3 linked regions of the Pelodiscus sinensis genome follow. The protein of the gene in region 3 interacts with the protein of the main gene of each other region in a pairwise test. Links are inferred from orthologs where the notes say so. Each region holds a gene or a part of one and is shown on either strand. Other genes may lie near its edges. The genes, in order: COPZ2, COPZ1 and COPG1.

Evidence for each region.
Region 1: the proteins of COPG1 (region 3) and COPZ2 interact in a two-hybrid assay, tested with the Homo sapiens proteins (2 studies listed by BioGRID). The link is inferred for Pelodiscus sinensis from reciprocal best matches to the Homo sapiens genes COPG1 and COPZ2.
Region 2: the proteins of COPG1 (region 3) and COPZ1 interact in a two-hybrid assay, tested with the Homo sapiens proteins (2 studies listed by BioGRID). The link is inferred for Pelodiscus sinensis from reciprocal best matches to the Homo sapiens genes COPG1 and COPZ1.

Annotation. Positions count from the first base shown.
Region 1 is NC_134739.1:13,715,680-13,722,961, reverse strand, and holds the start of COPZ2 (coatomer subunit zeta-2), read left to right. Parts: upstream 1-4,200; 5' UTR 4,201-4,243; coding exon 4,244-4,360; intron 4,361-6,183; coding exon 6,184-6,258; intron 6,259-7,282. UniProt on the Homo sapiens protein: The coatomer is a cytosolic protein complex that binds to dilysine motifs and reversibly associates with Golgi non-clathrin-coated vesicles, which further mediate biosynthetic protein transport from the ER, via the Golgi up to the trans Golgi network.
Region 2 is NC_134729.1:1,253,450-1,261,191, forward strand, and holds the start of COPZ1 (coatomer subunit zeta-1), read left to right. Parts: upstream 1-4,736; 5' UTR 4,737-4,758; coding exon 4,759-4,878; intron 4,879-7,742. Other genes in the region: protein mono-ADP-ribosyltransferase TIPARP-like, read right to left, coding at 999-1,170, 1,292-1,647, 2,642-2,887. UniProt on the Homo sapiens protein: The coatomer is a cytosolic protein complex that binds to dilysine motifs and reversibly associates with Golgi non-clathrin-coated vesicles, which further mediate biosynthetic protein transport from the ER, via the Golgi up to the trans Golgi network.
Region 3 is NC_134721.1:25,627,723-25,634,746, forward strand, and holds the start of COPG1 (coatomer subunit gamma-1), read right to left. Parts: upstream 3,025-7,024; 5' UTR 2,874-3,024; coding exon 2,837-2,873; intron 1-2,836. UniProt on the Homo sapiens protein: The coatomer is a cytosolic protein complex that binds to dilysine motifs and reversibly associates with Golgi non-clathrin-coated vesicles, which further mediate biosynthetic protein transport from the ER, via the Golgi up to the trans Golgi network.

The sequences.
Region 1 (7,282 bases), on a different chromosome or scaffold from region 3:
GTGGCCACTCTGGCCAACACCAGGGAAACTCTATGCCCCCCTCCCGGCCCCGGACCCCTTAAAGGGGCACGGGCTGGCTACGGTGCCCGTGCCAGGTGCAAGCCTGCCAGCACCCAGCTAGCAGACCCTGCACCTGGCACGGCACAGAGCCACCCACCCGATGTCCCCCAGCCCACCCCCTCTTGCCGGGACCAGGCTGGCGGCTCCCGGGAGCTTGCCCTGGACCGCAAGAGGCGGGCACCTTCCTGGGCTAGTGCGGACATCGTGGACCTCGTCCACGATCTCCGCACTAGGCACAGGAAAGTGGCCGTCTAGGGCAGGAGAGCTGCCAGCCTGGCCACCCAGGACCAGGTGTGCATGAAAATCAAGGGGGTCCACTGAGACCCCCGACACTGAGCCCTGAGCTTACAATGGCCGTACTGGGTCAGACCAAAGGTCCATCTAGCCCAGTAGCCTGTCTGCCAACAGCGGCCAACCCTAGGGACCCTGGAGGGGATGGACCGAAGACAATGACCAAGCCATTTGTCTCGTGCCATCCCTCTCCAGCCTTCCACAAACTTTGGGCAGGGACACCACTCCTACCCTCTGGCTAATAGGACTCCATGGACCCAACCTCCATGACTTGATCTCACTTCCCTTTAAACTCTGTTCTAGTTCTAGCCTTCACAGCCTCCTGCAGCAAGGAGTTCCACAGGTTAACTATTTGCTTTGTCAAGAACAACTTTCTCTTACTAGTTTCAAGCCTGCTACCCATTCCTTTCCTTTGGTGTCCTCTAGTCCTTCTTTATGGGAACTCAGGAAGAACTTTTCTGAATGCACCCTCTCCACCCAACCCCTGCTTTTAGAGACCTCTATCCTGTCCCCCCTCCGTCTCCTCTTTTCTAAGCTGAACAGTCCCAGTCTCTGTAGCCTCTCTTCATCTGGGACCTGTTCCCAACCCCTGATCATGTTAGTTGCCCTCCCCTCTCCCAGCCTTTCTCTTCCCCTCTCCCACCTCCTTTTCCCAGTCTCCCCCAGTTTTTTTCAATAAAGACAGAGTCAATGTTGGAAGAAACGTTATCTTTATTTTGTACATCAAGAAGAAGGGGGGCTAGGGAAGGGCAAGTGGAAGGAGGTGAGGGAGGAATGGGGTACGAGCCCCCGATGGGGAGGACTGGGCTGGCTCTGCGGGCTTCTGGGGGTGGAAGCTCTCCTGCAGCCCCCCAATTACTCCCTCTCCCCAGATGGCAGCCTGCGGCAAGTGCAGCCGGGCTGATGGCCGAGTGGTGTGATGTGCCCAGTGTGGGCACTCAGGGCACTCCAAGCCAGAACTTCTTTGCAAGCGGGGCACCCCTTAGAACTGTGTGTCCGGGGTGGGGGTCGGGACCCTTTAAGCGCAGCCCTCGGCTAGCCTGAGACAGTATCTCCATGCTCTAAGTCCTCCTTTTATGCCCTGCCGGCACTGCTTCCGGCCATCCTTAAGCCCTGTTCAGAGTCCACTCAATGTGGACTTACTAGTTCGAACTAGCAAAACGCTAGTTCGAACTAGTTTTTAGTTCTAGATGCGTTAGTTCGAACTAGCTTAGTTCGAATTAACTAATTCGAACTAAGTTAGTTCGAACTAGCGCTGTAGTGTAGACGTACCCTCTGTAAGTGGCCTAGGTGCCTCTCCATGGGCCAGTGACCCACACCCAGTGTGGGCTGCACATCAATCCAGCAAGCCTGTTATTTTGAAATAATTTCAAAATAACGAGCTTCTTGCTCCGACTTCTGTAACTCTCATTTCACGAGGAGTAAGGGAAGTGGAAGGAAGAGCGTTCTCCCTTCAGCTTCCTGCCATGCAGACAGCACCAAAAGCCGACTTAAGGCCCGGCTGTGAAACGCAGCACAAAGGCAGCAGCTCGGGGGGGGCTTTAAGAACCTTTTCTCCCCAGGGGTGTAGCAAGGGGGGAAGGTAGGGGGGCAGTTGCCCCTGGGCACCATGCTAGGAGGGTGCCAGTTTAGTCCCCCTCGGCTCGCCTGCTCCTCCTCCGCCCAATGCCACCAGCTGGAGCCTCATGCCCGCCCCTCCTCCATCTCCGCTGGCAGGTTAGTGGGGGGGCCAGCCCCAAACTGGAGGGGGCGGGGAAAGACGCTGTACAAGCTCCTCCTCCCAAGGTCTGGTTTAGCTGAGCGCTAGGTTCGAGGCCCTGCCACATACTGGCGGTGGGGAGGAGAGGACACAAATTTTGCTTTTGCCTCCGGGTTGCATAACACCCTTGCTACGTCTGTTTCTCCTGCAAGGTTTTGGGTAGCTCACAGGTCAGTGAGGCTCCTGGTGTGAGGAAGACCAGCCCCAGAGGCTGCCGTAATTCACAGACACACCGGTTACACCGTTCCACTGCCCTTCAACCTTTCCCGTGGGGAGTCTCCCAACAGTGCAGCGTGGTTTGAGCGTTCCCCACCACCTCTCCCGTCCGTGTCCAAACAGATCCGGACGACTGGCCCCCCCACACCAGTCACGCGCGTCGGTGACTTTAGCGAGGCCAGGAGGCCTCACGCCAATGGAAGGGCTGCTCTGTGTTTGACCAGCACAGCTCCAAAGACAGGGGAGCCGGATTCAGACCGGGCGTAAGCCTGCCCAGGAGCATTGACTTCCATAGAGCTGAAGTTGGCCCAATAAATGCCAATGCCAGCGTTCCAGGGCTTAACGGCTGGCACGAGGGGAACTGGGAGGCGAAACCGCTAACCCTTGCTCCGCCACTGATTCTTCCGGTGGCCTTAGGCAAGTCTCTGTGCTGCAGCTGACTCCGAACGGGGCCAGTAGAAGCTATTGGTGCAGAGGTCTGCACATGAGAAGCGTCTGCTGTTGCTGCCAGGGGGTGGCTTTGGGTGCTGAGTCCAGAGGCTCTTGGCTCAGTTTTCCCTGAGGAGCCGTGGGGGGGACCGGAGGTCATTGCGGCAGGTGACTCGTCCCACAGGCCTGGGCACTACACAGAGTGTCCAGCTGCTCCTCTTGCCCACTGAGGACGGGACACGGAAGGAGCCATTTAATTTGCAGCCAGGGAGACTTGGGTTAGATGTTCACAGGGGTGACCAGTGAAGGGCAACGGCTGGGACCATGGTCTGGTCCTAGACATACCCCGCACCCCCGCCTGGCACCACGTGGGTCAGCCCAGCCCAGGACGATCTGCCTGGCCCGGCCCCACAGACTGGGCTGCGCCCCAGAAGTGGCTGCAGCAGGCCTGGCTCCTAGGTGGGGAGGGGAACACACAACGCTCTGCACTCTGTGCCTGCCCCTAGCACTAGCTCCACACTCCCATGGGCTGGGAACCCGCTGCCGGGTGCCTCTGGGGGCAGCAGCATCTGCGGGGCCAGGAGAGGCAGGAAGCTGCCTTAGCCCCGCTCTGCACCACTGAGCGGGAGCCGCTTGAGGTCAGCTCCTCCTGCCCCAGCCTCCCCCCTCCCCCCGGTTCTGATGCTTCCATGGCACCCACCTAGCCATGGGTGAGACCGGCCGCCTGCGTCTGAGCCGCATGCCCCAGGGACGGGTCAGCCCGGAGCTCCCCCACGCGGTGTGGCGAGGGGGCCAGGTAGACACACCTCTGGGCCTCGTGCCCGGCTCTAGCCCCCTGCCCTGCGGGGAGGGGGGCAAAGTGGGGACACCCGGCTTCAGCAATTAAAATCTAGGGGGACATTTGACCCAGGTAGGGGTGCATGTGACCTGACGCCCTCACCCCCCCCCCCACCCCATGACACCTATGTGCTAGGCCCTCACCTCCGCCTGCGAGGTAGGGAACTGCATGGCTCCCCAGAGCCCCCCAGATTGGGGGGGCAAAGGAGGGGCACTGCTCCCCCCCACATTGCTGTAGGCTGCCCTGGGGTCTTTGAGACCAGATCTGTGCAGGGGGAGCCCTTGAGGAACTGATCCCCCCCCCCCCTCCCCGCTTCCTGACTGCAGAGGAGGCAGCTCGAGGTATTGGGGGGCGCAGCGCCCCGATCCCTCCCTTATGGGCGTGGGGGAGGGGCCTGGTTTTAGCTACAAGCCGCCCCCCCCTTTAGTGCAAGACTGTTGGGGGGCTCCGCTGTTGCGGGCGGGGGCCCCTGTTGGGCGGGGGGGACCCCGACTGGCTCCCCCCGTTAGCGCAGGCGGCCCTGGGGGGGCGCTCCCCCCAGGCCGGTCTAGCAGCGCGGGGAGCCCGGCCCCCCAGGACCGCAGCCCCAGGGGGCGCGGCGGGGCGGGGCGCGGGGCGGAGCGGCCCGGCCGAGCGCTCCGTGCCGCGGGATGCAGCGCGCCGAGGCCCGGCCACGTCAGCAGCCCGAGGGGGCTGCCCCGGGGGGCGGAGGCGGCGGGGACCGGGCAGCTGCAGCCGCCGGAGCCATGGACCCCACGGGGCTGCTGGTACGGGCGGGCTGCGGGGCCGGGGGCTGCGCGCAGCGGCGCCAACTCGCCAGCTTCCCGGCCGCGCAAAACTTTCTGCGCTGGAAGCTCCGTGGGGGGGCGGGGTTCAGGGGCGCAGGGCCGGGGAGGGGACCCCGGGGGCTGCAGGAGAGAAGAGAAGGCGAGTCCAGGAAGCAGAGCCCAGAAGGGGGACAGGGGTACAGCCCTGGGGCAGAAGAGGGGGAAAAGGGGGGCAGGAGAAGGGGGCAGCCCTGGGACAGAAGAGGGGGGCAGGGGTACAGCCCTGGGGCAGAAGAGGGGGAAAAGGGGGGCAGGAGAAGGGGGCAGCCCTGGACAGAAGAGGGGGGCAGGGGGACAGCCCTGGGGCAAAAGAGGGGGAAAAGGGGGGCAGGAGAAGGGGGCAGCCATGGGGGAGAAAAGGGGGGCAGGGGGACAGCCCTGGGGCAGAAGAGGGGGGAAGGGGGCAGGAGAAAGGGGCAGCCCTGGGACAGAAGAGGGGGGCAGGGGGACAGCCCTGGGGCAGAAGAGGGGGGAAGAGGGCAGGAGAAAGGGGCAGCCCTGGGACAGAAGAGGGGGGCAGGGGGACAGCCCTGGGGCAGAAGAGGGGGGAAAGGGGGACAGGAGAAGGGGGCAACCCTGGGACAGAAGAGGGGGGCAGGGGGACAGCCCTGGGGCAGAAGAGGGGGGAAGGGGGCAGGAGAAAGGGGCAGCCCTGGGACAGAAGAGGGGGGCAGGGGGACAGCCCTGGGGCAGAAGAGGGGGGAAAGGGGGACAGGAGAAGGGGGCAACCCTGGGACAGAAGAGGGGGGCAGGGGGACAGCCCTGGGGCAGAAGAGGGGGGAAGGGGGCAGGAGAAAGGGGCAGCCCTGGGACAGAAGAGGGGGGCAGGGGGACAGCCCTGGGGCAAAAGAGGGGGAAAAGGGGGGCAGGAGAAGGGGGCAGCCATGGGGGAGAAAAGGGGGGCAGGGGGACAGCCCTGGGACAGAAGAGGGGGGAAAGGGAGGCTGGGGAAGGGGGCAGCCATGGGGGAGAAGAGGAGGGCAGGGGGACAGCCCTGGGACAGAAGAGGGGGGAAAGGGAGGCAGGGGAATGGGGGCAGCCATGGGGGAGAAGAGGGGGTCAGGGGGACAGCCCTGGGACAGAAGAGGGGGCAGGGGAACAGCCCTGGGGCAGAAGAGGGGGACAGCCATGGGGCAGGAGAAGGGGGCAGCCATGGGGGAGAAGAGAGGGAAAGGGGGGCAGGCCTGGGGCAGAAGCGGGGAGCAGGGGGACAGCCCTGGGGCAGAAGAGGGGGGCAACTGTGGGGGGGAAGAGAGGGGGCAGTGCCAGGGGGCTGGAGGGGAGCCTGCTGCAGCCGCTGTTCTCGGCAGGCAGGCTAAAGCTCAGAGGGTCTGGGGCCAGGCCCCTCTGAGCCGTCCCAGCCCCGTCCCTTTCTCAGCCTCCGGTCCCGGGGTGAGGCCTGTCTCAGTCCTCTCGGCTCAGGTTCTGTGGTACACTTGGACTCGGACTCTGGAGCAGTCAGTGCATGACAGAACTTGGGCTTGGACGGACCCTTCCGCAGAGCGCCCGCGGCCCCCACCCCCCTCTGGCTCTCGGGCCGGGGCATCGGGCCTGGATCGGGGCCTCTGGCTTCGTGGGGAGGGCTGTGGATTGGAACCAGGCCAGGGGCTCTTTGGGCACTTCCAGAGGGCGGAGACAGCCCTGCAGCCCCCTTTCCGCCTCCTCAGGTCACTGGGGGGGGGCGACCCCGTCCCGGGGCAGGGGAGGCACCCAGGTTCTGGAGGCGCCACCGGGCCGCTGGCTTCATGCTGCCCTTGTGTCAGTTTCAGGAGCCTTCCCTCTACACGGTCAAGGCCATTTTCATCTTGGACAACGATGGACAGCGCCTCTTAGCCAAGGTAAACGCCACCTGGCCTGGAAGCTACACACTGAACCCAGGCCTCTGGCCCCCCCAGGAGACGGGCTTTGGCTCTGCCCTTCCCCACCGGCCAAGGCGCAGGTCTCCTTGGCCGCAACCCCACATGCTGAGGAGATGGAGAAAGCTACCTGGGCCAAAGCCACCTCCTGGGCCGTATGGGCCAGCACAGAGGGCACCTGTCCGGCCTTCTGGGCTCCATTCTCAGCACTGCTGAGAGCTCGGGCAAGCCATTTCGCCTCTCCGGGCCTCCCGCCGCGCTCAGAAGCCCTGTGACAGCTCTCGCGGGGAAGCAGGCCGAGCGCAGCTCCAGCAGCAGGAGAGGGCCCACGAGTGCAACGCTCCCACACTCATCTCCCGCACCTGGAAATCAGCCACTCACCTCAGAACACACGTCCTGCGTGGGGCCTGTGTGACCCGGAGGCCGGGGTGGGCAATCAGCCAGGGTTAGCCTGCGTCTCCGCAGGTACGGCCGCTTGCAGCTCCCGTTGGCCGCAGATCGCTGTTCCCGGTCAATGGGAGCGGCGGGAAGCGGGCGGGGACCCAGACACCACTTCCTACAGCTCTTATTGGCTGCAGATCGCTGTTCCCAGCCAATGGGAGAGGTGGGGACCTAGACACCACTTCCTACAGCTCCCATTGGCTGTGGATCGCTGTTCCCAGCCAATGGGAGAGGTGGGGACCCAGACACCACTTCCTACAGCTCCCATTGGCTGCGGATCGCTGTTCCCGGCCAATGAGAGCGGCAGGAAGTGGCAGGGACCTAGACACCATTTCCTACAGCTCCCATTGGCTGCGGATTGCTGTTCCCAGCCAATGAGAGCGGTGGGAAGCGGTGGGGAACTAGACACCGCTTCCTACAGTTCCCATTGGCTGGGAGCGGCGATCCACAGCCAATGGGAGCTACAAGCGGCCGTACCTGGGAGGCACAGGTAAATAAAGTACTAACAGCCCGCCGGGGGCTAACCCTGCAAACGGCCTCTGCCCGGCGGGCCACTCATCGCTCA
Region 2 (7,742 bases), on a different chromosome or scaffold from region 3:
CCCTGGCCACACTGACATCCGCTCCAGCCACACCACGCCCCCGGCCACGTATCCGCTCCAGCCCGCTGGTCCCCCAGGCATTCCACTCCCCTGGCCACACTGACATCCGCTCCAGCCACACCACGCCCCCGGCCACGTATCCGCTCCAGCCCCCTGCTCCCCCGGCCACGTATCCGTTCCAGCCACGCTGCTCCCCCGGCCACGTATCCGCTCCAGCCACGCTGCTCCCCCGGCCACGTATTCGCTCCAGCCACGCTGCTCCCCCGGCCACGTATCTGCTCCAGCCCACTGCTCCCCCGGCCACGTATCTGCTCCAGCCCGCTGGTCCCCCAGGCATTCCACTCCCCTGGCCACGCTGACATCCGCTCCAGCCACACCACGCCCCCGGCCACGTATCCGCTCCAGCCCGCTGGTCCCCCGGCCACGCCACTCCCCCGGCCACGTATCTGCTCCAGCCCGCTGGTCCCCCGGCCACGCCACTCCCCCGGCCACGTATCCGCTCCAGCCCGCTGGTCCCCCGGCCACGTATCCGCTCCAGCCCACTGCTCCCCCGGCCACGTATCCGCTCCAGCCACGCTGCTCCCCCGGCCACGTATCCGCTCCAGCCCACTGCTCCCCCGGTCACGTATCCGCTCCAGCCACGCTGCTCCCCCGGCCACGTATCCGCTCCAGCCACGCTGCTCCCCCGGCCACGTATCCGCTCCAGCCCACTGCTCCCCCGGCCACGTATCCGCTCCAGCCCACTGCTCCCCCGGCCACGTATCCGCTCCAGCCCACTGCTCCCCCGGCCACGTATCCGCTCCAGCCACGCTGCTCCCCCGGCCACGTATCCGCTCCAGCCACGCTGCTCCCCGGGCCACACACCTGCTCCCTGCCTGCTGCTTTGTCCTGCTCCCCTCAGCCACACCCCCCCTCCAGCCACGCTGCTCTTCACACCAGACCACACAGGCCTTTCTTTTCTCCCCCGCCCCTCTCCTGGGATCCCCCCCTTCCCTCACCTCCTCGTACACGAGCCACTGGCCCCACTCCTCCCAGTACACCTGCCACTCCACGGGGAAGTAGGGGTTGCGGCTGGGGTCGCTGGTGTTGGAGAGGCGCCGGACGCGGTCGTAGAGCTGGTGGGGCGTCAGCTCCATGGAGTTGAGGTCGAGGGTCCAGGACGAGCCTGGCCTGGGGGGGAAGCAGGAGAGCTGTCACTGAGGGACACCCCCCCCCCCCACGCTGGCAGCGAGCATCTGGGCGACGCACCCACCTCTCCCGCCTGCCGGGCCACGTCCCCCCAGCCACCTACTTGTCCAGCAGCTGCACCTCGCGGTGGCTGGGGCTGCAGTAGAGCTTCTCCAGGAGCTGCTGGGCGGCGGGGCCCACGCTGAGCCACACCCCGTCCGCCTGGCGCCGCACCTGCCAGTGGAAGGGCTTGGGGGTGTGGTGGCGCAGGCAGCGGCCCCCCGCCGGGCACTGCCCCAGCAGGAAGTCATCGCAGATCAGGACGCCGTCTCGCTGGTGGACGTGGACCTCCTCCGGGCCGGCCAACTCCAGCACCTGCCCGCCCCGGCCCAGCCCCTGGGGCTCCGGCGCGAGCAGCAGGGGGTGCTGGGCCAAGCCGAGACGGCGGCGCTTGGGCTTCTCCGCCATCAGGGTCAGGCCCTAAGGGGGGGAGAATCAGGCCAGAGCTGGGGCCAGACTGGGTCTGGGGTTCAGCTTTCTGGGGGGCCACAGGCTGGCAGGGCGCTGGAAGGATCTGAAGGGGGATGCTACCCCCAAGGTCAGGGAACTGGTCCGGGGGGTGGGTCAGTGTTGGCCCCGACTCTGGAGCAGCTCACGCCTGATCATGGGAGGACTCCCCTAGGATTCCAGCACCGGGGGTAGGGGAATCACCCCCAATTTGCAGATGGGGAAATTGAGGCTCCGGGCCAAGGCAGGGGCTCGGCCAGCAGATCCGTGGTGGGGCTGGCAGAGGAACCCAGGTGTCCTGCGAGCCAGTCCCCTGGCCTGGCCTCCTGCCCCTCTTTCCCCCGTGCTCGGCTTATTATAGAGGGAAGCTGCCCCGATTCTCCAATCTGCAGTCCCCCCCAAAGCCGAGTCCCCCAGAGCCCCAGCGACTGGGACCACAGAGGTGAGGCCGGGGGCACAGAGCCAGCACTGCCCGGCTGCCAGGCTCCTGGGGCATTGACTCGGGGGGGGGCATGGGTCCCGGAGGCAGACAGACCGTCTCCTCCCCCACCCCTCCTCCCCATCACTCACCTCCTCTGCTGCCGGACAGGGCTCTTGCTTTTGCTTTTGCTTTGCTGAGTCACGGGTCCGCGGTGGAGAAGCCCAATCAGCCTGCCACCTGCGCAGGGCCCAGGGGCTGGGGTTTCCCCCGGCTCCCGGCCCTCCCCCCCCCCTCGCAGGGTTGCAGTGAGACCAGTCGGGGCCCGGCCCAACGCCCCACAACAGGGCAGGGCAGGCTGGGAATGGACGCCTTGCCCCCAGGAGCAGCCAGTGAGCCGGTGGTAAAGCAAGACAGAGAACCCCAGCTCCCCTCTAACTCCCTACACCCCAGCCCCTCCCCAGAGCCAGCAAGAGAAGCCAGGAGACCTGCCCCCCCCCCCCCACGTCCCGCCTCCCCATGGGCACCGCCAGGAAATACAAACACGACCTTGGCACAGCGTCTGCCTGGCCCAGCTCCACTTTCTCTTTCAGTTCCGCTCCCTGCACCACGCTGCCCGTGGCACACGGAGCCCAAGGGGGGGGCAGGACCAGCTGCACAGAGTGGCACCTCCTTGGGGGGATGTTGTGGGGAGTGGCCCTGCGGGGGGGGGGGTTGCTTTTGCTCTTCCCAGGGTGTAACCGGAGTGTGGCTTGGTCTCTCACTGCCCCCACCTGCTGCCGTCCAACCAGGCATAGGCCGGAGCCAGGCCTGAGACAGGATTCAGCGGATTTCCAGGAGGGGTGAGAGGTCTCTCAGTGCACAGGGCATCTCCAGTTCATCCCTGGCCTCTGCTCTATGCACCCCCCGCCCATGTCACTGCCGCCCCAGACCAAACCCAGTCAGCCAGCTGAGCCACGCCTCGGCTGCACCAGCTAGCCCAGAGCTGGAGCAGTCCCAGGATGGCGTCCCACCGCACGGCTGCAGCCAGGGAAGAATCCTAGGAGGGGAAGGGACCTTGAGACGTCAAGTCCAGTCCCCCGCCCTCACGGCAGGACCCAGCACCGTCTAGATCATCCCTGGCAGGCGTCTGTCCACTCTGCTCTTAGATATCTCCAGGGAGGGAGATTCCACGACCTCCCCAGGCAACTGATTCCAGCGTTTCACCCCCCGGACAGGTGGGAAGATTTTCCTCATGTCCGACCTCAACCTCCCTGGCTGCAGAGCCTTATTTGTTAAGGAACAAAATAAAGTGCCGGTGACCATAATAATAAAAGAAATCCGTCTCCGGCACAGCGAGAAGATCCGCCCGGCTGCAGAGTCTAGCTTCCCCTCTGGGCCTTATTGCTCCTTCTGTGCACGGCTGCTCCGCCCAGCCCCCTTTCAGAGGGGTTCACCCCTGTAGCCAGGGAGCCAGACTGGATTTCCTCTGAGTCCCGAGGGGCAGCCTGGCCTGTCATACGCTTTCTGCCCCTCTCTGCCGGGTGCTCCACACAGCTCGGCTTCCTCTAGCAGAGCCCACCTCTTGTTACCTCCTTCTTTCCGAACCTCTTTCCAACTGCCTCCTCCCCAGCTGAGCCCCCGTCCCTCGGCTTCAGGAGCTGCCCTCTCGCTAGGGGCGGGGTCCCTCTCCCCAGGCAGCGTTGTCTGCTGCTGCATCACAGCTGCAGGGCCCAGCACTCCCCCTCTTGCTCCAAAGTGCAGCAGAAGCTGGAGCTGGGGCAAGTGTAACCCCCGGGAGGGGGGGGGGGATTTCACACTTTTCCCCTCGTGACCCAGTTTGGAAAAAATTGCGGATGCGCGTGACCCAACGTAGTGTGGCTGGGGCCGAGGTGGGGAGCTTTGTGGGGCAGGAGGGGACTCCACTCCCACGGGCCGGGAACCCGCTGCCGGCTGCGTCTGGGGCGCAGCCCGGTGTGAGGGGCCAGGCGGAGCAGGACGCTGCCTCAGCCCCCGGTGCACTGCAGACAGGCAGCAGGTTCCCGGCCGGCGGGAGTGCGGGGCGAGTGCTCGGGGCAGGGAGCCCCGTGTGCTCCCCCCACCCCAGGAGCCAGGCCAGGCCGGGGGCTGCCTTAGCCCCCCGCTCTCCGGACCCCTGCAGCCCGGGCGACGCTCCTCAGCCCAAGGCCCTGGGCCCTGCTGGGGGGTGTCGGGGCGCGGGTCAGGGGCCCCCCCCCATGCCTGGGCCATGTGCCCCCGTGGGGCTAGCGGGGAAACTGAGGCACGGGGTGGGGGGGGTGACATATGGAGGTCACATGGGTGCACACCCCCAGGGGGAGCCATTGGCCTGCGGGGGGGAGGGGAATGACTGGCCCCGCCCACCAGCATGACTCCTCCCCCTGCCCTCAGGGTCATGACCCCCATGAAGGCGGGTCGGGGCTGCTTCCGGTCATGTGACGTGCCGGCGAGGGGCCTGACGTCACCGCTTCGCTGGTCGCCGTGGGAACTAGCCCGCCCTCCCGGCGCTGCGGCGGGGGCGGAGCGAGTGACCGACAGGGGCGCCTTCCAATCGCCGAACACGCTCTCCGAGGGCGGTGGGGCGGGGCCCAGCGGGCCCCGCCCACTTATTGGAAGCCACTTTCTGGTTGGCTGGCCGGGATAGGGTCGCCAGCCAATGAGCAGTTAGAATGCGGAAGGGGGCGGGGCCCCGAGCTGCGATTGGCGGGCGAGTAACCAATGGCGCGCGGCCCCTGTCGCTCCGGCTCCACGTAGGCATCGCGGAGGGCAAGATGGAGGCGCTGATCCTGGTAGGAGCGGGCCGGGGGAGCGGGCGCCGCCGGGGGGGGCTGAAGGGGGAGGGGCACAGCCCCGGGGGGGGAGATTGGGGAGGGGTCGCTGCTGATGGGGGAGGGGCACAGCCCCGAGGGGGGGAGATGGGGGGAGGGGCACAGCCCTGGGGGGGGGAGATGGGGGGAGGGGTCGCTGCTGAAGGGGGAGGGGCACAGCCCCGGGGGGGGGGGAGATGGGGGGAGGGGTCGCTGCTGATGGGGGAGGGGCACAGCCCCGGGGGGGAGAGATGGGGGGAGGGGTCGCTGCTGATGGGGGAGGGGCACAGCCCCGGGGGGGGGGAGATGGGGGGAGGGGTCGCTGCTGATGGGGGAGGGGCACAGCCCCGGGGGGGGGGAGATGGGGGGAGGGGTCGCTGCTGATGGGGGAGGGGCACAGCCCCGGGGGGGGGGGAGATGGGGGGAGGGGTCGCTGCTGATGGGGGAGGGGCACAGCCCCGGGGGGGGGGGAGATGGAGGGAGGGGCAGGGCTGATGGGGGAGGGGCAGCTCTGTTAAACCCTTCAGGGCAGCTCTGGTCTGGGGAGGGATCCGTGGGGCTGGAGCCAGGGTTGGGGGATGAATCTAGGGGAGTGAAAACCTCTGTGGGCTTTGTGTGTCTGGGCCAGCAGCTGTTCGAGGGCCGGGAAGGTGAACCTGCCATGTCTTGGCGCAGAAACATCCCCGGCCTCAAGCTTTTATTACCTTGTACCCCAGAGCCCAGCCGTCCGGAGGGTTGTTCTGAAGGGTGAAGTCGTTCTGTGGGTACGATTCCTTCCCAGCCAAGTAGCCGGCTGGGTGATCCGGGAAGCCCTGCTACTTGCTTGCCCGTATTTTTTGTTGGCGAGTCAGGGCTCCTGGCTTCTGTTCCCAGCTCTGCCACTGGCCAGCTGCTGGACGTGACGTCCCTGCCTCAGTTTCCGCTGCTGTCGCCATCTTTCTTTGTAAAGCGGTCGGAGGCCTACTGAGGCTGCCGACACCTGGTCTAAAGTGCCCTTCTGTCTTGCTGCCCGCAGCTCCCTGCCTCTCTCCTTTGTCTGCAGACAGATTCCCTAGTCGCCTTTGCTGCTAATAATACTAAAGTCCGAGCCACAGTGCTTGGCTGCGTGCATCTCTCCTCTGGCCCCGTGCCCTAGTTCGGGTCCTGGCAGCGAGAACCGGCTGTGGCACAGCTACTGTTTGCGTGCTGGACGGCCGAGCGCCCGCTTGCATTGGCTGAAGTCTCATTTATTGACACGTTTGAATGACACCGTCAGCCCCGTGTGTGCCCCAACGCGGGGCGTCTTGTTGGCTTGACACGGCCCTCGGCCCAAACCAAAAGCCTCCAGAGAGACCAGGCCGCAGCGTCCCGCCCGCCGGGCCCTCTGCCCCAGAAGCGCGTGTTACAGCTTTAAAACGTGGGTTGCTTCGCTGTGCTCCGCAGTGCAGCCTGGCTCCGGAGCCGTGTAAAATCCTCTGGCTTTCTCTGCCGGGCTTGCGTCTCCTTTCCGCGCAGAGGGGCTGGGAGGGGGAGAGGCAGCGCTTTTCCCTCTAGCTTGCCAGGCTACTGAGAGTTACAAGCCAGGTGCCAAAGAAGCTTGTGGCTTTTCAAGCTGCTTCCTTTGGATTGTGTAGCCCTGCCCTCCGGGTCGGTCCCCTTCGCCGCCTCTAGAGAGGCTGGGTCCAGTTGAGGGTGAGCCGTCTGGGGGGCAGGGCTTGGAGGGGAACCTAGATCTGCAGGGCTGCCCATCCAGCTGAGCCCCGCCTTGGAGGGGAATCTCCGGACCGGGACGGGATGCAGTTACGGGCCGGCGTGGGCTTGAATAAAGCAAAGTGCGTCTGCAAATCCCATCCGGCCACGTTGATTCTGTGCGCTGGTTAGTGGAGGAAGGGCAGTTTAACCCCTCACGCGCTGGGGGGGATTAAGCGAATTCGGAGTAAGGCCCCCTTAGCCCGGAGCGAGAGCGTCCACACGCTGCGTTAATGGGATTGACTCCCCATGGTGACAAGCCCAGAAGAGTCACTGGTCACTTGCGGTGCTGTCCGGGGGGGCAGCGGGTGCCTGGTGCCTCTGAGCATTGGGCCTCAGGTTGTGCGCCCCCCAGTCAGACCCTTAGGGTGCCCCACAAAAGGAGGACCCTCCCCCCATGGCTTGGTTGCTCCTGGCAGGTTCAGCCCGTGGTTTGGATTCGGGGCTGGGGCTGAGCCCGGCTTTCTGACGGGGCCCTTCCTGAGGGCAGGGGCCGCAGGATCTGGCCCATTCCCTGCCGCCTCGGCCGTGCTTGGCTCCGGGGGGAGCCCCCTCCCGAGAAGCCAGGCTCCTGTCCTCTCCCCCTGCCCCTGGAGACACAAGGAGGAGCCACTCTGGGGAGGGGCCCTTGGGGTCGCAGAGACGGGGCCCTGCCATGCTGTGCCCCAGGGAAGCCAGTCGGGGGCCCGATCCTGGACTGTGCTGGGCACTGGCGGCCTCGATGGAGGGCAGAGGGCATCCCGGGCGATTGGCTGCATGTGGGGCAGGCCCTGGCAGCCTCCCCCAGGGGCCGGTTCTCCTTGGCAGAGTCTCAGCTGCAGGGGAGGTTACCGGGCCCCGCTGGGAAGTGCCTTGCCCGCCCCTGACCCACAGGCGGGTGGGTTCCTGCCCCGTGGCCTGGCCGGGGGCCTGGGGGGCCCGTGCCCCGATGCGGAGCCGCAGCGTTTGAGGTGAAGTTCTGTGTTACACTCCGGCCGTGGCTACGAGGGGTCAGTGCATCACAGAACTTTGTCTCGAGAGCTTCTTAGCGTCTGTCTCCTGGGCCCCCCACCCCCTCGCGTGCTCTGCAGCCCTCGCCGGGGGGGTCCTGGCCCACGGGGGCTCTGCCGCAGGCTGGC
Region 3 (7,024 bases):
AGCTCGGGGCTTTGCCTGAGAAAAGCGCCAGTCTAGACAGGGATCTTTCGGAAAATAAAGCCTTTTCCGAAAGGTCCCTTATTCCTGATTTTAAGAGGAATAAGGGACCTTTCGGAAAAGGCTTTATTTTCCAAAAGATCCCGTCTAGACTGGCGCTTTTCTCCGGCAAAGCCCCGAGCCGGAAAAAAGCAGCAGCCATGTTTATACAAATGAAGCGGGGGATATTTAAATCCCCCGCTGCATTTGCAATTCCGACTTGTCTAATCTGCATCTCTTTTCTGGAAAAGGGGTGCAGTGTAGACACAGCCTTGGAGAGTCTATAAGTCAGTTTCTAGGCTGCTTTTTAACACGTGGTTTGACACGTACGATAATTTTTCTCATATACATGGTCACGAGGCTCCCCGTGTTTTATTAAAATTGGTTTATGAATATGAATATGCATAACTCAAAGGCATTTTCAGCAAAATGCATCATGTAACATTTTTAAAGTTATAATCTGCTAAATGTGTATCTTCTATTTCAGTGCATGTTTCATTCTTGTATGTGAAGTTAGAAATATGAAATGTAAACCTGTTTTATTAATGTAAGTCTTCTAGTGAAAACCATTAATGGTATTTAAAGAAACTTAATGGCCCAGCACTCAAGACAATGATCTGTAAATGAGTATGTTTTTACGTTTAAGTCCAAACTGTGGTAAGTCCTAGAAACCTGGTGCTGGAATCCATCTTGAATAAGGTATTTTTCCTTGGGGTGGGAAAATAAAACAAAGGGTTCCCACCCTGGGAAGTTTATACAAAAAAAAAAATCAGTCTTTTGTCATCAGATAGGGTTGGGGAGGCAATTTCAAAAGCTAAGAGGACACACAGGAAGAAACCTGAAAACAAAGTAGTGATGGAAAATCCATCAATTAGTTGATTAAACTAAATTTAACATCCACTAGTCAATAAGCAGGAAGCCGCAACGGGATCTGCAAGCAGGGAGTCAATTAGTCGATAAGCAGGAAGCCCACCCGGGAGCTAACCCCACTGCATCTCTGCCTTTTAAATGGAAAGGCTAAAGCGCAGGAGAGACCCAGCATGAGCCAGGACAGCTGATTCATGACTCATGCAGGATCCCCCTCCCTCCTTGCTGCACACCAGTCTTTTAAATGGATTAAGAGAGCTTGATGGCTCTTAATCCATTTAAAAGCTAAAACCAGGAGAAGGGACCCAGGGTTTTGGTCCTCTTTGTGGCTATGTTCCTGTGCTATCAAAGCCCTAAAGCTGAGTCCTCCCAGGGCTGAGCTGGTTCAACATCTTTGTTGCTCTGCTAGGGAGCTATGGCCCCAACTCTGCGCCTGGGCTGGGGGAGAGCTTTGGCCCAGCAGGGCACGATGGTGGAGAGCCCCAGAAGACAGATTGGCAGGCTAAGTGGCATGATCAGCATATCAGGTGACAGTCCCGAGGGGACCTCGCTGATATAACCTATCACATACATGTTAAATAGTCAGTTTCTTACTGTAAGTCCTGTATTAATATACAGAACAGCTAGGGTTACTGTGTCAAGTGCAGGTGGCACAGCTCCCTGAACTACTTCACCATCCTGAACTGCCATGAGAGCTGAATTGAGTTTCTCCATTTCCAAATTCTGTGGTCCATCCTCCAATGCTGTGTGGCACTCAAATACTGTGTAAAGGACATGGATCAAGTGTGTCCAATAATAATTTCCGCAATACTTATCCAATCCCCACTTTTCTTTTTATACTGTGTTCATCTCCATGCCTCCTGAGTCCCAACCCCTACTTTTGTATCAGTGCTACTCTCCTGCAAAGATCAGGACACCAATATTTTCACCAGGAGAAACACTTGTCTCCTGCTTCACATCGACATCAAACATCTTGAACAGCAATCTACGCACACACACACACACACACACACACACACCCCAAAATGTAAGCTGCACACACACACACACCCCAAAATGTAAGCTACACACACACACACACACCCCAAAATGTAAGCTACACACACACACACACACACACACACACACCCCAAAATGTAAGCTACACACACACACACACACACACACACACCCACCCCAAAATGTAAGCTGCCACTAAAAGGATCAGAGGTTACTCTATAAACTTGCAATTGGTACATCTGATACATCAGCCATATATTTTTAAAGCTGTCCACACATATGCTGGATGGGCCGGTGACCAGTTTGGGGGGGACAACGAGTCAAGACATGGGGAGGAAGGGAAGAGGAGGCAGAGCATGAGGGGACAGAGTAGTTAGGGTTTGGCTGGAGATCTATGTCATTTCAGGTGCATCCTCCTTAATCACCTGCCCTTCATTGTACATCTCGCTTTGAGACATCAGTGCAGTGCAGTGCAGTGCAGCGGGGGGGAGGGGGGGGATAAATCAACGGAAAGCAAGTTGAGGTGATCCGGGCAGAAAATGAAGGATTATTTGGCGGGTTGTTCCTGTGCTATCAATGCCCTAAAGCGGAGCCCTCCCAGGGCTGAGCTGGCTCAACATCCACCCAACTCCAAAGTTTCCTGGGGCGGGGGCGGGGGAGGGGGGGTCTGCAACGCTCGCAGGCTCCGCCAGAGCCACTGAGGAAGGCTGTGGGCAGAGTTAAGGGGGCCGCCTGGAAAAGTCACTAGCTGGGGGGCAGCCCGGGAAGGGGCCGACACCCGTGGCAAGGGGCTGGACGGACGCTGACCAGCAGAGCCCAGCCCCGGAGCCGCGGCGCGTTCGGAAGGAGAGCCCGGCCGGGGGGGGGGGGGGGTCCTCTACCCCGCTGGGCACGGCCGCCCCGCCCCCCCGCGGCGGGCCCGTCCCACACTCACCCGCCTCCTCATCCTTCTTATCGAACTTCTTCAGCATCCTGCCCTGCGCCGGGCGGGGGGCGCGCGGGGCCTGGAGGGCGGGGGCCGCACGAGCCGGGGGGGGGTCTCTATCCAGCACCTCCACTTCCGGCCTTGGCGCTGCTTCCTGCCAGCCTGTCACCGGGACAGCTCAGCCGGACAGCGCCGCGCACGCGCGTTGCGTGAGGGAGGTTGGTCGGGCTGACGTGGCTGCCTGGACCACCGCCCGCCCCAGGGGAGGAGGCGACAGCGCTGGGCGGGGCAGTGGCCGTGGGAGGCCCCGAGCCTGTGGGACAGTGGATGGGGGAGACGGGAGTGTCTGAGGGGCTGAAGAGCCTGCGGCGCAGCGACTGGGGGCAGGGCAGTGACTTGGGGGCACAGCTTGTAGGGAAGTGACGGGGCAGGGCAGTGATTTTGGGGCACAGCTTGTAGGGCAGCGACTGGGGGCAGGGCAGTGACTTGGGGGCACAGCTTGTAGGGCAGCGACTGGGGGCAGGGCAGTGACTGGGGGCACAGCTTGTAGGGCAGCGACTGGGGGCAGGGCAGTGACTGGGGGCACAGCTTGTAGGGCAGCGACTGGGGGCAGGGCAGTGACTGGGGGCACAGCTTGTAGGGCAGCGACTGGGGGCAGGGCAGTGACTGGGGGCACAGCTTGTAGGGCAGCGACTGGGGGCAGGGCAGTGACTTGGGGGCACAGCTTGTAGGGCAGCGACTGGGGGCAGGGCAGTGACTTGGGGGCACAGCTTGTAGGGCAGCGACTGGGGGCAGAGCAGTGACTTGGGGGCACAGCTTGTAGGGCAGCGACTGGGGGCAGGGCAGTGACTTGGGGGCACAGCTTGTAGGGCAGCGACTGGGGGCAGGGCAGTGACTTGGGGGCACAGCTTGTAGGGCAGCGACTGGGGGCAGGGCAGTGACTTGGGGGCACAGCTTGTAGGGCAGCGACTGGGGGCAGGGCAGTGACTTGGGGCACAGCTTGTAGGGCAGTGACGGGGCAGGGCAGTGACTTGGGGGCACAGCTTGTAGGGCAGCGACTGGGGGCAGGGCAGTGACTTGGGGGCACAGCTTGTAGGGCAGCGACTGGGGGCAGGGCAGTGACTTGGGGGCACAGCTTGTAGGGCAGCGACTGGGGGCAGGGCAGTGACTTGGGGGCACAGCTTGTAGGGCAGGGACTGGGGGCAGGGCAGTGACTTGGGGGCACAGCTTGTAGGGCAGCGACTGGGGGCAGGGCAGTGACTTGGGGGCACAGCTTGTAGGGCAGCGACTGGGGGCAGGGCAGTGACTTGGGGGCACAGCTTGTAGGGAAGCGACTGGGGGCAGGGCAGTGACTTGGGGGCACAGCTTGTAGGGCAGCGACTGGGGGCAGGGCAGTGACTTGGGGCACAGCTTGTAGGGCAGTGACTGGGGGCAGGGCAGTGACTTGGGGGCACAGCTTGTAGGGCAGTGACTGGGGGCACAGCTTGTAGGGCAGTGACTGGGGGCAGGGCAGTGACTTGGGGGCACAGCTTGTAGGGAAGCGACTGGGGGCAGGGCAGTGACTTGGGGCACAGCTTGTAGGGAAGCGACTGGGGGCAGGGCAGTGACTTGGGGCACAGCTTGTAGGGCAGCGACTGGGGGCAGGGCAGTGACTTGGGGCACAGCTTGTAGGGCAGTGACTGGGGGCAGGGCAGTGACTTGGGGCACAGCTTGTAGGGCAGCGACTGGGGGCACAGCTTGTAGGGCAGTGACTTGGGGCACAGCTTGTAGGGCAGTGACTGGGGGCAGGGCAGTGACTTGGGGGCACAGCTTGTAGGGCAGTGACTGGGGGCACAGCTTGTAGGGCAGTGACTGGGGGCAGGGCAGTGACTTGGGGGCACAGCTTGTAGGGCAGCGACTGGGGGCAGGGCAGTGACTTGGGGGCACAGCTTGTAGGGCAGCGACTGGGGGCAGGGCAGTGACTTGGGGGCACAGCTTGTAGGGAAGCGACTAGGGGCAGGGCAGTGACTTGGGGGCCCAGCTTGTAGGGCAGCGACTGGGGGCAGGGCAGTGACTTGGGGGCACAGCTTGTAGGGCAGCGACTGGGGGCAGGGTAGTGACTTGGGGCACAGCTTGTAGGGCAGCGACTGGGGGCAGGGTAGTGACTTGGGGCCACAGCTTGTAGGGCAGCGACTGGGGGCAGGGCAGTGACTTGGGGGCACAGCTTGTAGGGAAGCGACTGAGGGCAGGGTAGTGACTTGGGGGCACAGCTTGTAGGGAAGCGACTGGGGGCAGGGCAGTGACTTGGGGGCACAGCTTGTAGGGAAGTGACTGGGGGCAGGGCAGTGACTTGGGGGCACAGCTTGTAGGGCAGTGACGGGGCAGGGTAGTGACTTGGGGGCACAGCTTGTAGGGCAGCGACTGGGGGCAGGGCAGTGACTTGGGGGCACAGCTTGTAGGGCAGTGACGGGGCAGGGTAGTGACTTGGGGGCACAGCTTGTAGGGCAGTGACTGGGGGCAGGGTAGTGACTTGGGGGCACAGCTTGTAGGGCAGTGACTGGGGGCAGGGCAGTGACTGGGGGCACAGCTTGTAGGGCAGTGACTGGGGGCAGGGCAGTGACTTGGGGGCACAGCTTGTAGGGCAGCGACTGGGGGCAGGGCAGTGACTTGGGGGCACAGCTTGTAGGGCAGCGACTGGGGGTAGGGCAGTGACTTGGGGGCACAGCTTGTAGGGCAGCGACTGGGGGCAGGGCAGTGACTTGGGGGCACAGCTTGTAGGGAAGTGACTGGGGGCAGGGCAGTGACTTGGGGGCACAGCTTGTAGGGCAGTGACTGGGGGCAGGGTAGTGACTTGGGGCACAGCTTGTAGGGCAGTGACTTGGGGGCAAGGCAGTGACTTGGGGGCACAGCTTGTCGGGCAGTGACTTGGGGCACAGCTTGTCGGGCAGTGACTTGGGGGCACAGCTTGTAGGGCAGTGACTGGGGGCAGGGCAGTGACTTGGGGACACATTTTGTAGGGAAGTGACTGGGGGCAGGGCAGTGACTTGGGGGCACAGCTTGTAGGGAAGTGACCGGGGGCAGGGCAGTGACTTGGGGGCACAGCTTGTAGGGAAGTGACCGGGGGCAGGGCAGTGACTTGGGGGCACAGCTTGTAGGGGAGTGACCGGGGACAGGGTAGTGACTTGGGGGCACAGCTTGTAGGGCAGTGACTGGCGGGGGAGCAGTGCCTGGGGGAGCACAGCTTGTAGGGAAGTGACTGGGGGCAGGGTGGTGACTGGGGAAGGACACAGCCTGTGGAACGATAACCCATGAAGTTAACATTTCTCTGGACATAGGTTATTTCAAGTGTTGTGTGTGTTAATCTCCTGTTTCTCCATGCGGCCGGTTTGGGCCACAGGAACACTGTTTTCTGCTGAAGCTCAGTGCTGTAATTAAAGGGAGAATAACTTCTTTTAGATGTGGGATCTGGCAACACACACTAGATGAGGTCAGGCCACGGCATCCCTTCTGCACAGTGGTCTGCTCCACCAGACCCCTGTAGAATTAGGCAGCAAGGCTCAAAGTGGATGATATTTCCAGCCTATGGTGAAAGATGTGAGACACCTTTAAGGTGTATATTGAACCTACAGCTTTTGTGAAATGTTAAATCTAATCCTTTCTGCCATATCTACAGGGGACTATTGGAGAATGTATTAAAGAAAATCCAATGTGATTAATGAAGGGGCCTTGGTTCATGTTCTTTTCTGCAGTAATACACTGTGTGTTGTCTGTTGCCACATGTGAGCTATCACTGAGGTCAGAGTGGCTTTTGGGGTCATTTCTGCAGTCCTATTGTGCCCAGTTCCTATTTTCTTTCTGTAAGGGCCAGTGAGACACCCTGAGTACTCTTTACAATCATACTCTGTTCTGAAGCTTCAGGGAGTAACCGAGTTAGTCTGTTACAGAAAAAAACAACAAATGGTCTGGTAGCACTTTATAGACTTAACAAAATATGTAGATTCTCATGATACCGTCTACATGTTTTGTTAGTCTATAAAGTGCTACCAGACCATTTGTTGTTTTTATACTCTGTTCTGTTATTCCAGCTGTTGATGACACACAGTTGGATTTAAAGGCATCATTTCAGGAAATAACAGTTCCTCTCTGAATAAAGTTTGCATTCCCAATCAAGGTTTAAATGAGGAAAAATAAATGTTTCTCACTAGTGATATTAAATGG